Linked DNA regions of Lepisosteus oculatus. The protein of the gene in region 2 purifies or fractionates together with the protein of the main gene of each other region. This does not show direct contact. Links are inferred from orthologs where the notes say so. Each region holds a gene or a part of one and is shown on either strand. Other genes may lie near its edges. The genes, in order: vangl2, ptpn3 and vangl1.

Region 1 (3,755 bases), on a different chromosome or scaffold from region 2:
AGAAAGAGAAAAAAGAGAAACTCTGGCTCAAAATGTATCCCCTGTATTCGCTGTAGCCTTCTCCCCTCGACTAAGGGCTTAATTAAGCTTAAACTTGTAGATTTTTCACATAATCCACGAGACAAATGATGAGACCCCAATCCCCACTGCACCTTAACCTGGCTCCATCCTGTATTCGTACTGCAACCCCACTGTGCTGTCTCAGTTGAAAAAAATAAGTCTAAAACTGCCTTTTTTTTTTACAGAATCAGACACTTTTTTTCATATGCTTGATGGATGAAACGATCAGATCTCCCCAGATGACGCAATGCCCTAATCCGCCTAAGATTAATCTCGGGCCGGACAGATGTTGCACTGTGCTCACACTGGTGGTGGTGGTGGGGGGGTTGGTCTGCAAAATACCAGAGATGAAAGAATTTGGAAGGTTCCCTACTGCTGAGATGGTGCTGCTGCTACAACGCCTTGTGTTCAACAGCTGGCGTCCAACAGAAACGGGAGAAAACCTAATTAGGGTCATTCCCAGGGATGTCTCCAGAGTTCATCGCAAACCAATTAGGAGCACCAAGAGATGCCCAAGTGATTGATCACGTCAGCTCATTACTAAGACTCTGTGCTCTTTTAGTGGTCCGCCAATCCAGACAAGGCATGTCAAAAACATCTGACACACGCCCTACAAGATTGTGAGCCTTCGAAAGCTTGCATTCTCCTCTTATTTCTTCAGAACCTTTACTTGACAATCCACACATCAGGATGTTGCCACCAATCCAGCACCGCAACTTATTAGAACCCTTGGCTGTGGGGAGCAGCTCGGGAACAGCGTGACCCAAGGTTTGGGTGCACTTTTAGTCTTGTGATGGACTATTTAGCAGCAGGTTCACCTATTTAAGTTTAACCTCATTAAACTACTTGTATTTTAATGATGCTAGAAACAAGTGTGTGGGCAGCACAGTGGCACCAGATATGGAACCCTGGGGTCAATTCCTGGAGCGCTATCTCCATGGAGGTTGTATGTTCTCCCTGTGCTCACTTGGGTTTCTTGTCCACGGTCCAGAGACATGCTGGTAGGCTAATTGGTTTCTAGGTCCTGTGTATGAGTGTGTATGTCTGTGTTTGTGTGTGTGCCCTGCAATAGCACCAGTTGCGCCAGTTGCGTGCTGGGATAGGGTCCAGATTTCCCCATGACCCTGTACTGAATAAAGCAGTTAGAAAGTGGATGGATACATAACAATGGGAAATGCATAGAAGTGTCACATGGTGACAATCAGGGTTTTCTTACACCACGTTTCTATAAAACTATTTTACAGTAGAAATTGGTTATTAGATGAATTCCACCAGTCAGGTGATAAAAGTATTTAAAAAGCAATTGCAACACACTTGTATTGCAAAGCATCTCCGTCCAATCGACTGCACTCTTATACTGGTACTTTACAGTTGCAAGTCGAGGACAGTAAACAAAAACGAAAAGGAAGTGAAACCATGTGTGAACATGAAATGAAAACAGAGGAACCGAATGTAAATTGAAGGCCATCAGAAACCAGCACGTCTTGAGGTGAAATTCTGAAACGTCAGCAGCAGGAGGGGTTTTAACGAAACAATATTCCGCAGACGAGAGGTTGCCACTGAAAAGCTCCACTAACGCACAACGTTGTCACAAAGGCCTCAAAACGTTGAGAAGCCCAGAACCAGCGGAACGAAGTGAAGTCCGCCGTTCGGTCCCCGTGTGCGAGATCCTGTTTTACCTCCGGCGGCATGTACAGCCGCAGCGGTGTCACGGGATGGCTCTATGACGTAGGGGGTCAACCCGCGGTCTTGGGGCCCTCGCCCGCGTTTACCTGTGTTTCCGTGAACTGCGCGAGTGGCTGGACTTGTAGGAGTAGCCCGAGTACTGCGACTCTGTGTCCATGGTGCTGCTCCGAGACTTCTCCTCGCTCAAGGTGGGCTTGCGGGGGCGGTGGCCGGTCCCCCCGCCTCCCCCTCCTCCTCCGCCGCCGCCGCCGCCGCCTCCTCCTCCTCCTCTGCCTCCCTCCTCCCTCTGGCCGTTCCCACTGCGCCCCGGCGGACCCCCCTCCTTCAGCTTCCGAGTGCCGACCGCCTTGGCAGAGAGGGACAGGGGCAGCTTCAGGAGGTCGACTTTGCTCCTGAGAGAATCTATTTTGAAGCCCGGGCGAACACTGGGGCCGGAGAATCCCAGGAGCTGGGGACGAGCCTGGAAAAAAGACAGAAGGGGGGTGGGGGGGTGGTCATTAAGCCAGGTGGGATTTAGATGCGACTCAACAAGGTCCTGTGTTGTATGACCTCAGGGGGATCAGCACCCCTGACTCTCGATCCCTGATCTTGAGCTGCCGCCTCTACTTCAGAGTTCAGACATGACTGAATCAATCAACATGTTAACGGAACAAGTAACAGGCAATCGCAGAAAAGGTGTCCGAGAACTGTCGAGTGGGTAGCAGCTGTAGAGAGGAGAGAGAGCCGAGAGGAGTGTTTTGGAGTTTGTATGTGTACCCTGGAATTCTTGTTTCAAACAGTCTCTCGGCACATACACAGTACATAAGATGGCAATATGACAGACAACAACACAATGAAGACAGAACATTACAGGATTGTGCACAATAGCTAGTAACAACAGAATAAATATGTTGGAGAGAACAATAAACGTGCTAGTGGGGGGAAAAAAAACATGGCAGTCCACACAACAGGAGCAGAGGTGCATTGAATTCGGAGGCCTTACAGTTAGCTGTTAAGGATATAAACTGCCTTAAGGTAGGAGCTGTTCTACAGCCTAGTGGTCTGTGCTTTAACAGTGCGGTACCGCTTGCCAGAGCACAGGGGGGAGAACAGTTTGTGGCCGGGATGGTTGGGATCCTGAATGATGGACCGGGCTTTACTGAGGCAGCGGATCGCGTGAATCTCACTGATCGATGGTAAATCGCACCCTATAATCCTCTGTGCCGTTGCCACAAGCCTTTGTAGTGTCTCTTTGTTATGAACAGCAGTAATGCTGGAGCATACAGCGATGCCACTATCGAGGACACTGTCTACGTCACTTTCACCCAGTGTGGTTGGAAGGGGGCTCACTCAGCACTGCTCCCTCTGCCGTTGAAATGAGTGGACAAGACCAGCTGGGAGCCATCGACTGACCACCTCCGGGGCCGAGTCGAGAAAGCAGCAGATGGAAAGAAAAAAAAACAGCTAACAAAAGAAGTCATTATTGTGCTTTTGGCACCGAGGTGGGAGTGGGAAGGGAAAAAAAAAGCCTCGTCCAACAAGAAGCATTTCTAATGTCGAGGACAGACGAGCAGCCGACTTCTGGCTGAATGACAGCAAAGGTGAAGTGTGTGAAGAAGTCCAACAGCTGGGACGCTTTTTGCTTTGTTTTACAGCGTGGAACCTTTTACCTTCAGCTCCCCCCTCTCGAACCTCTTCAATGACTTAACTGGCCTAATTGACCACCACTTCTAGGCCCTCCACTAGTGAAGAGTCTGAGCTGTTATGGAACCGCAAACAGCTATAGCTTTCAGAGAGAGGGACTTAACATCCCTTGTGTGGTGCAGTCCTCCCCCTCCACGTTGAGCCAAGTCCAGGATTATAGGTCAATATTATGCCCCGCATGCATGATAAGCACAAAAAAAGGGTTGAAAAGATTCTAAAAGGCTTTTGGAAGAAAAACAAGAAGCATTGAGCAGCAATGTTTCAGTATTTATTGGAACCATCTATGCATCCACCTTCTAAACTGCTTCTCCCAATTCAGGGCTGCT
Region 2 (3,755 bases):
AATTTCTTAAAACAATAAAACAATTATGGTATTTTTGTACAAATATGTCACTATACAGATTGACTGTATTCGCAATTATAATTACTATTTATTTTTTCTGTAATATTTTGTCTTAATTGTTACCTTTCTGCTTACAAAAAAATAATACTTTTCCTGCTGTTTCCTGGACATTAAATTCTGTCTACCTACGTATGTAGCTGTATGAGGATGTAAATAAACATGTATCATTTACTTTCCCTCAGAGAAACATGCGATGATTACGTGTGGTGTTGTTGATTTTTTTTCTCAATATTTTGCCAATAATAATCGCCAAAAGTCCCCGGCATGATTGTGTTTGAAGAAAAGAAAGTTAAATTTCTGAAAACTCATCCAACTATCGTATGAGATTTTGTTTTGTCGCAGGACAGAACGGGTGGAAGGTAGAAGGGGCTCCCCTGGCGGCAATGTTATGTAAATGCTGCCATTTTTCAAAGTGGTTTTGGAAGTGTATTATTAAACGCATTTCCGAAGGGTGTTGTCTTCTATAAACGTGAATTACATTTTGGGTGTTTCTGCAAATTGGTATCAATATAGAAAACTGGAATTCTTTCTGTGATCTTTGATTTTTCTTTTGTTTTATTTAGAACAGTTTATACTTTCTTCTATAGAAAATGTTGGGCATACATAGTATACTGTACATTAAAATGATAATTTTAAAGAACGTTTTTGGAGTTTATTTGAATTAATGGAGTACAGTATAGTTTAGCAGATCTGAAACAGTCATTATGAAAATAGCTATAAGCAATACAATACCAAATTCAGTTTGAGTGTCTGCACACATACAGTAAATACTAGTGTGTGTGGGTGTGTTAGAAAATGTTTAGTTTTGATTACTTAAGGAGCAAAAGCTGCACAGTTACCAATTAGATACAGGCACTATTTAAGCATTTATTTTTAATTAGTACAGTTAATAACATTAAACTCCTATGTTCACCTTGGAATTTTAATTTCTACCACAAAAAGAGTCCTGTTTTATGCTTTCCTTGTTTACTTTTTCATATAACTCTTGCACACCATAAGGCTCACTGGGGAAGACTTGTTCTGACTGCTCTATTGTGTACATTATGTCCCACATCTCACATACTGTGTTCCAGCTTTAAAAAGGGTGGCATTATAAATGAAATTCATGTTTACCTAAATGGTGTATAAAAAGCAGTAATTCTGCTACATTAGAGTGATTAGCCGCTGTGAACCACTTGCCCTTTTCAGCTACTCACCAGCAGACATGAACAAGGAGACCAATTATCTGCTTCTGCATTGAAGTTATTATCACTGTCATCAAAACACAGTTAGGCCCATTTAAGATCACTTCAAAGCACCCCTGTACAAATGATGGCAATTATCCTAGTTGACTTTACTGGGAGTTCACCGATAGACAGGTAAAACATATGACAGGATTTATTGAGCCATTTTCTGACAATCACTTTTACATTGCAATCAAAGCCATTACTGCAAAATGCTGGGCTACATTTAAACATTTCCCACTTACTATGCATGTATACATGTAGAGCGTATTAGATCATTAGTAAGTAAAGAGTCGTAAAGAATAATCAGTTTTATCCATATACTGTACATAAGTAGTTTTACTTAAATTTGAGTAAGATTAGCTAAAACTCCCATACTGTATTCTTAGGACCATAAATTATAATGGCTTCCTTTTTATGATAGAAGCCTGTAAAGATAGAAAGTGCACTTTGTACCCTTAAAGCCAGGACAGACATCTATTGCCTGTATTTTACTCATATCACAGAAAAAAAAATCATAATGCTATGATTAACACAAAGTTTTTTCTAAACAAATATGTATTCTAAAAATTAATACTAAACAACATCTAGTCTATACCCTGTAAAGTTCATAGGTCTTACATAGCCTTCACCAATCAGTGCTACTTAATTTTATGTATTTAACTATAACCAAAATATGTTGTGGTGCTTTAAATATTCGAGACCTTATGTTAATGTAACTAAATCTATGAGAGTATTCACATTTATAAGCACAGATGGTGGACAACCTGCTGTCCACATGGACATCTGTCCACATGTTTTAGTAAAACAACCCTTTAGTGTTTGAACACCACTGCTGGCTACTAGAAGACAAAATACATGAGGAATGAACTCACCTTCTTCTTCCAGTGAGGGGGCTTGTTGATGCACACCTTGGTCCTCCACCATGGCCTCCTGCTTTATCTTATAATCCTCAATTTATTCGCTATTCAATCCATGCAGCATAGAATCATCAAAGTCAAGGATGTACAAACAGCACAGCAAGTAAAAGGCTGTCTTCATCCAATCTCCTTTTCTTTCCTTTCTTTTTCGTATATTAGTTCTCCAGTACAAACCAGAGGAACAGGTCCTTGCACATTGCAAAAGAACAGCTTAATTAAAAGCACACACCCTTTCTGTTGGCTCCTAAAATGTCTAGCCTGCTTCTTTAGGGTTGGAAAACAACACATGCTGAAGTAATAGCTATGCTGGTGCACTGGGAAATAGGTTGAAATGAATAAGAACTTATCATTTCCCTCCTGAAATGAAGAGTGTGGGATTTAAATATGTACCATCTGGTTTTTAAACAGTACCCTACCTCTGTATTCTCTGAAAACTTTATATTGTCCATGAACTGAAAATGAAACACGTTTAGTTGTTTGTGCACTGTGGCATGATTGTATTGGTAGTGATGCAGAGGCTTAGATATTTTTCCAATGTTTGAACATGCAACCAATAATATCTTCTCTATCTGAACATGAGCCTAGGTAACCAACAGCTGTAGGTTTATGTTTAGTCCTTGTTTGGCATATGTGTTATTTACTTGTAGCTAGGTATCAAGAGTAGACGTGAAACTTCTGTGTTGAGAATACCAAAGCTGCTTTGGTTTCTTTGGAAAAGCATGATCTATGTTGTGGCGCTAATGTAATCCCAGAGGACAGTGTGCTATTTCCTCACCTGTTGCAGGGCTGTTTTATGCTGAGTGACACTGACTCAGCCCTGGTGCCGCAATAGATATGAAACTCAATTACTGTAACAAAGGCCTCCACCCTTTCCTTCTTCTAAACTGAAGACACATCTCTGTAGTTTACCACGCTAATTTGTTCTCATCAGTCACATTTTCAGATCAACTTTGACTTGCGTTCTGATTAGACGTCTTATTTTAATGTTTAGGTTGTTCATTTTATAAACTTTAAGTAAGGTCCTGAAATTGGAGAACCTTGAGTCATACCAAGTTTGTTGGGTTCATGAAATGTTTTGTTCACATCTTGGGATGTACAATTTACTACATCTTCCTGGCCCTACGTAAAGCACGTTTTGAGAGTTTTTGTTTGACATCACTCTTTAATTTTGAAGTTTATTTATTTTATTTATGTCACATGTTATGTAAAGCATTTGTGACCATGTTTGATAACAAAAAGCAAAGTGTCTATTATATGTTACTGTGACAGACCATTAGTAATGAAGGTAGTAATTTCTGCTGACACCACTAGAGGTTGTTAAGACCTCTATTTTTGTATGTACAGTAGGTTCACATGGATAGAGTTGATTACTTAATTATTGAAGGTCCAACAATTATATTTAATTTAGATTTATTTGGTACATAAAGGGACTCACAGGGTAAGGGTAAGGTACAGAGTAAGTATAACAGGTTATGTCTGAAAAGAAAGTCTCCTTACACAAATATGTTTTGTTGTCTAATGTGATTTCAATGTGCTCAGGACTCACAAGCCA
Region 3 (3,755 bases), on a different chromosome or scaffold from region 2:
AGCACGTTTCATCCAAAGGGGAAGAGTAGCAGACACACGCATACCGAAATCACTCATTCACAGTGACCATCATTTCCATGCCTTTCGACAAAAAGATATTCACCCGTACGCGCCGGAATAACTTCTGAGTACTTGATTTTCACACCCTTTGTAATTATTTAAACGAGATGAAACGCATCCCATTTAAAAAAACAGCCGTCAATAACCGGAAAACCTATATCTTTTTTCATAAATCCATTGCCGTGTAAGACACCTATCATAGGAAAAAAATTCAGTTATACAGTATTTGAATTTAGTATTTTTAACGACTGTAAATCCAGTAAACTAAAGTTACAAAATTGAATTAAAGTAGTTCCACAGATCTGGCTATAGGACGCAGCCCTGGACTCGATTTAACTCTTTAATCTGCGAGATTGGTATTGCAGTACAGCTTGTTTAAAATATAAATCTAAAAGTATCTGAAAGCACGTGTTTCATAGTTGTCTCAAAACTACAGTATATGATACAATTGACAACAACAACAACAACAACAACAACAACAACAACAATAAGGAAAAGGAATCAGAGAAAGGATACTCTAAGCACTGAATCACAAATAATTTGTTTTAATTAAACTGTCATAAGTGAATTAAGATTTTGCCTGTATTTCTAAAACGAATGAATGAGGCTGTAACCTCTTAAAACTGTCAGATTGACTGAAGAGCGAATTGTATATTTTGTCTTCCCTGCATGCCATGTGTGGATTAGACCATCTCTCTGTAGTAACTGTAAAAGGACGATAGCTTATTAAGATACAGAAATTAATACAAAAAACAGACAATTACTTTTTTAGATATTTATTTTCAAAACAGCTCACCATTAAGATATGAAAAACTGTGTTCGTTAGAAACCAGCTTATTATAGCTACTTCACTACAAAATATGTGCTATAAAGCAACGAAGACACGATAAAAACCCTGAAAGACAAAAATCTTTGGATAGCAGATATGTCGTTTTTCCTCACTATAAAATCAGTTATTGTATTAAAGAGGTTCACAGCAGAGACACTCACACGTAATTAAAAACAAACTAAAAAAACAACCCACAGACTTAATCGAAAATTCCTATTTTTGGTCGCAGCAAAGGAAAGGCAACCTGGAATTTAACCTTGGTCGAGGGAGCTATATCCCAAGACTTTCAAAACTGAACTGAAAGCTCCAGCCGTGTTTGTCGGACTCATAAGATCCAAATCTCAGTCTTGTGCATGACAATTGTGAATGGAGAAAGACTTCATTTTTATTGCCTTTTGGGACCAATGAGTTTTGTGTAATATTAAATTCCAAGCAGCCATCCCCTTAAGACGTTTTTCAGAAAAAAAGCTACGTTTAAACAATGTTGATATCAACAAGTTATCTAAGGGTTCTACCCAGATAGAAGTGCTTATCGTTGCCATGGACAGATGAAAACCCCAAAAAAACATTGACATACGATTCAATTTACAACATACTTTCAACATAAAAATAACCACTGACAAGTGCAATAGGAGAGCAAAAATATCACTTTTATACTCCAAAAACACAGACTAAAATATAGATAATTATACATACACATTTAAATGTAAACAACGGGTCATACAAAAGACACGGACTGTAAAAAAATAAAATAAAAACAGCAATATAAATAAATAATATAAATCTAGAAGCAAAGATAATAAATAAATATTAAGGTCACAATTCTGATGTATTTTAAGAAGAAGTGGCACTTAAATATTTTCATTTATTTTTCCTCTTTTAGGAAATCGTAACTACATATTATTAAGCAGCTATTTCCCCTCTTTCGTCTAAATCGTGTCCATCTTTTGAAATTTACCACTCCGAATGGACTTTTCGTAACTAAAGTCAAAAACGTTACAAATATCTGGGACAAGTTCTAGATGAATTTGTGAAAGAATGTATCCAAGACCCTGTCTAGAGATCTTTCGTATCCCCTAAATTATTGCATTCTTGTTTCGCTAGTTTAACAACAGATTGTGTTTACAGGTATCGGTTCTTTTTCATATACTGGGAAATTCTGCTTTTGCTTTGCCGGAGAATTTGGGCTTGGAGTCGACAACAGCAGCGCGCCTTCCTTTCTAATTTCTCTGTAAACACTGCCGCTGTTTCTTAAACGAAAATACTGAAGTTACAATACCGGTGAAGTTGTTCTTTTCTTCCACATTTCCATCCCGCGGGAGCCAAATGTACTTTGATTTTTCTTTCTTCTTCGTATTCCGCTTTTTCAAAAGTAAAATTCATAAAGTCACTAAACGTCCAGTACATGGTTCAGATAAGAGATGTAGCAAATTGCTAACCTTAGAATTTCAATCTTGGACAGCTTCTTATCCGGGGGCAGTGTGGGGAGTAACTTTCTCAGTTCAGCAAAAGCCACGTTAAAAGCTTCGACCCGGATCCTCTCTCTTGTGGCGTGTGCCGAGCGGTACTTTGCTGTCGCTCGCCGCCTCCTGCGCTTCTCCTCCCGGCTTAAGGTTTGGGGGGCCAGCGCTCTAGTCTTTCCGTCCCCTTCTCCGGGCTCGTCGGAAACGCACCCGACTTTCATATCGTTTAGTACCGATTCAGCATCGGACTGAGCCCACGGATGGTCGGAGTCGGGTTGGTCAGGGCTCAGCATCATCTTCAGTTTTCTTTTGCTTTATAGTGAGAAAGAATAACTGAAAGGAAAAAAAAAACATTTTATTGAATACAGCCCAAGGCTCACATGCGCCTGGCAGCTCATATTGCAATTTATGACGTGCTTCCTTTATTGTGAAACAACTGGAATAGCAGATGTCTGTTTCATATAGGCCTATCTTATAAACTGATGCGGATAGGCAATATCAGCCCAGAGACTGAAACATAGCGTCAAATTCGTTCAATAAGACAGTGGAAGTGTTCTCGAACTCAGGGCCCAGATCAATGCAATCATATGATATCATAATATCACACAAAGGCTACGTAAATTTAGATTTGCAACTGTTAATACTCGCGTTGATAACAAGCTACACGTATTTCTTTTATTTAAGAAAATTGATATTTAGATTAACAAATTATGAAAAATGTGTTTTAGATTATTATTGGATGACATAACATGTAATGCATTTTTCAATTAAGCATTTTATACCCATACTCCTTTCGGCAACACAACAGCTATTGGTAAAGCCAATATTTACTAACATCATGCTAGAACAGGTTTGAATAGAAATGTCAACATCACTACTTTAATGTAATTTAGCAAATGAAAAATACGAGGGAGAGCGACGTGAGAGGGATGTTTCAAATGCGAAAATGTACTTTGCGAACACAGCAACCGACCTCTCAGTTTATACAGAAAACGAAAAAAAAAATAGCTTTAAAAACTCTCGGGTTTTTCACGCCAAACAAGTCAAAAGAAGCAAAATAACCGAATGCGTAGATAAAGCGATAGGCTAAGGATATTTACTTTTGCACTGCAAAAAGTGTTTTATGGAATCCAACTAAATTTAGACGTAGTGATATGTCACTATAAATACCCCTATGGAATAGTGGCTTTTATTATTTTCAGAAACCCATAAAATACTAAATAATGAATGCATACTGATAATGCCACCATCTGTCACACGTGAGATGAACAAATCTAGCAGGCTCCCAGTCTGACACCACAGCTCTCATCACGAAAATATGCGACTAGAAAATACAAAAGACATGCCCGAGATCAATCTGTTGCACTGAGCAATAGTGCGAAAACAAAGAAACCTGGCTATCA

The links.
Region 1: the proteins of ptpn3 (region 2) and vangl2 purify together in Homo sapiens (affinity purification with mass spectrometry; 3 studies listed by BioGRID and IntAct, with this or other methods). This does not show direct contact. The link is inferred for Lepisosteus oculatus from reciprocal best matches to the Homo sapiens genes PTPN3 and VANGL2.
Region 3: the proteins of ptpn3 (region 2) and vangl1 purify together in Homo sapiens (affinity purification with mass spectrometry; 4 studies listed by BioGRID and IntAct, with this or other methods). This does not show direct contact. The link is inferred for Lepisosteus oculatus from reciprocal best matches to the Homo sapiens genes PTPN3 and VANGL1.

What each region holds. Positions count from the first base shown.
Region 1 is NC_090699.1:8,407,472-8,411,226, forward strand, and holds the start of vangl2 (vang-like protein 2), read right to left. Parts: upstream 2,207-3,755; 5' UTR 1,904-2,206; coding exon 1,833-1,903; intron 1-1,832. UniProt on the Homo sapiens protein: Involved in the control of early morphogenesis and patterning of both axial midline structures and the development of neural plate. Plays a role in the regulation of planar cell polarity, particularly in the orientation of stereociliary bundles in the cochlea.
Region 2 is NC_090705.1:23,826,398-23,830,152, forward strand, and holds the start of ptpn3 (tyrosine-protein phosphatase non-receptor type 3), read right to left. Parts: upstream 2,322-3,755; 5' UTR 2,211-2,321; coding exon 2,159-2,210; intron 1-2,158.
Region 3 is NC_090710.1:17,962,585-17,966,339, reverse strand, and holds the start of vangl1 (vang-like protein 1), read right to left. Parts: upstream 2,421-3,755; 5' UTR 2,329-2,420; intron 2,285-2,328; exon of another isoform or gene 2,251-2,284; 5' UTR 2,169-2,250; intron 1-2,168.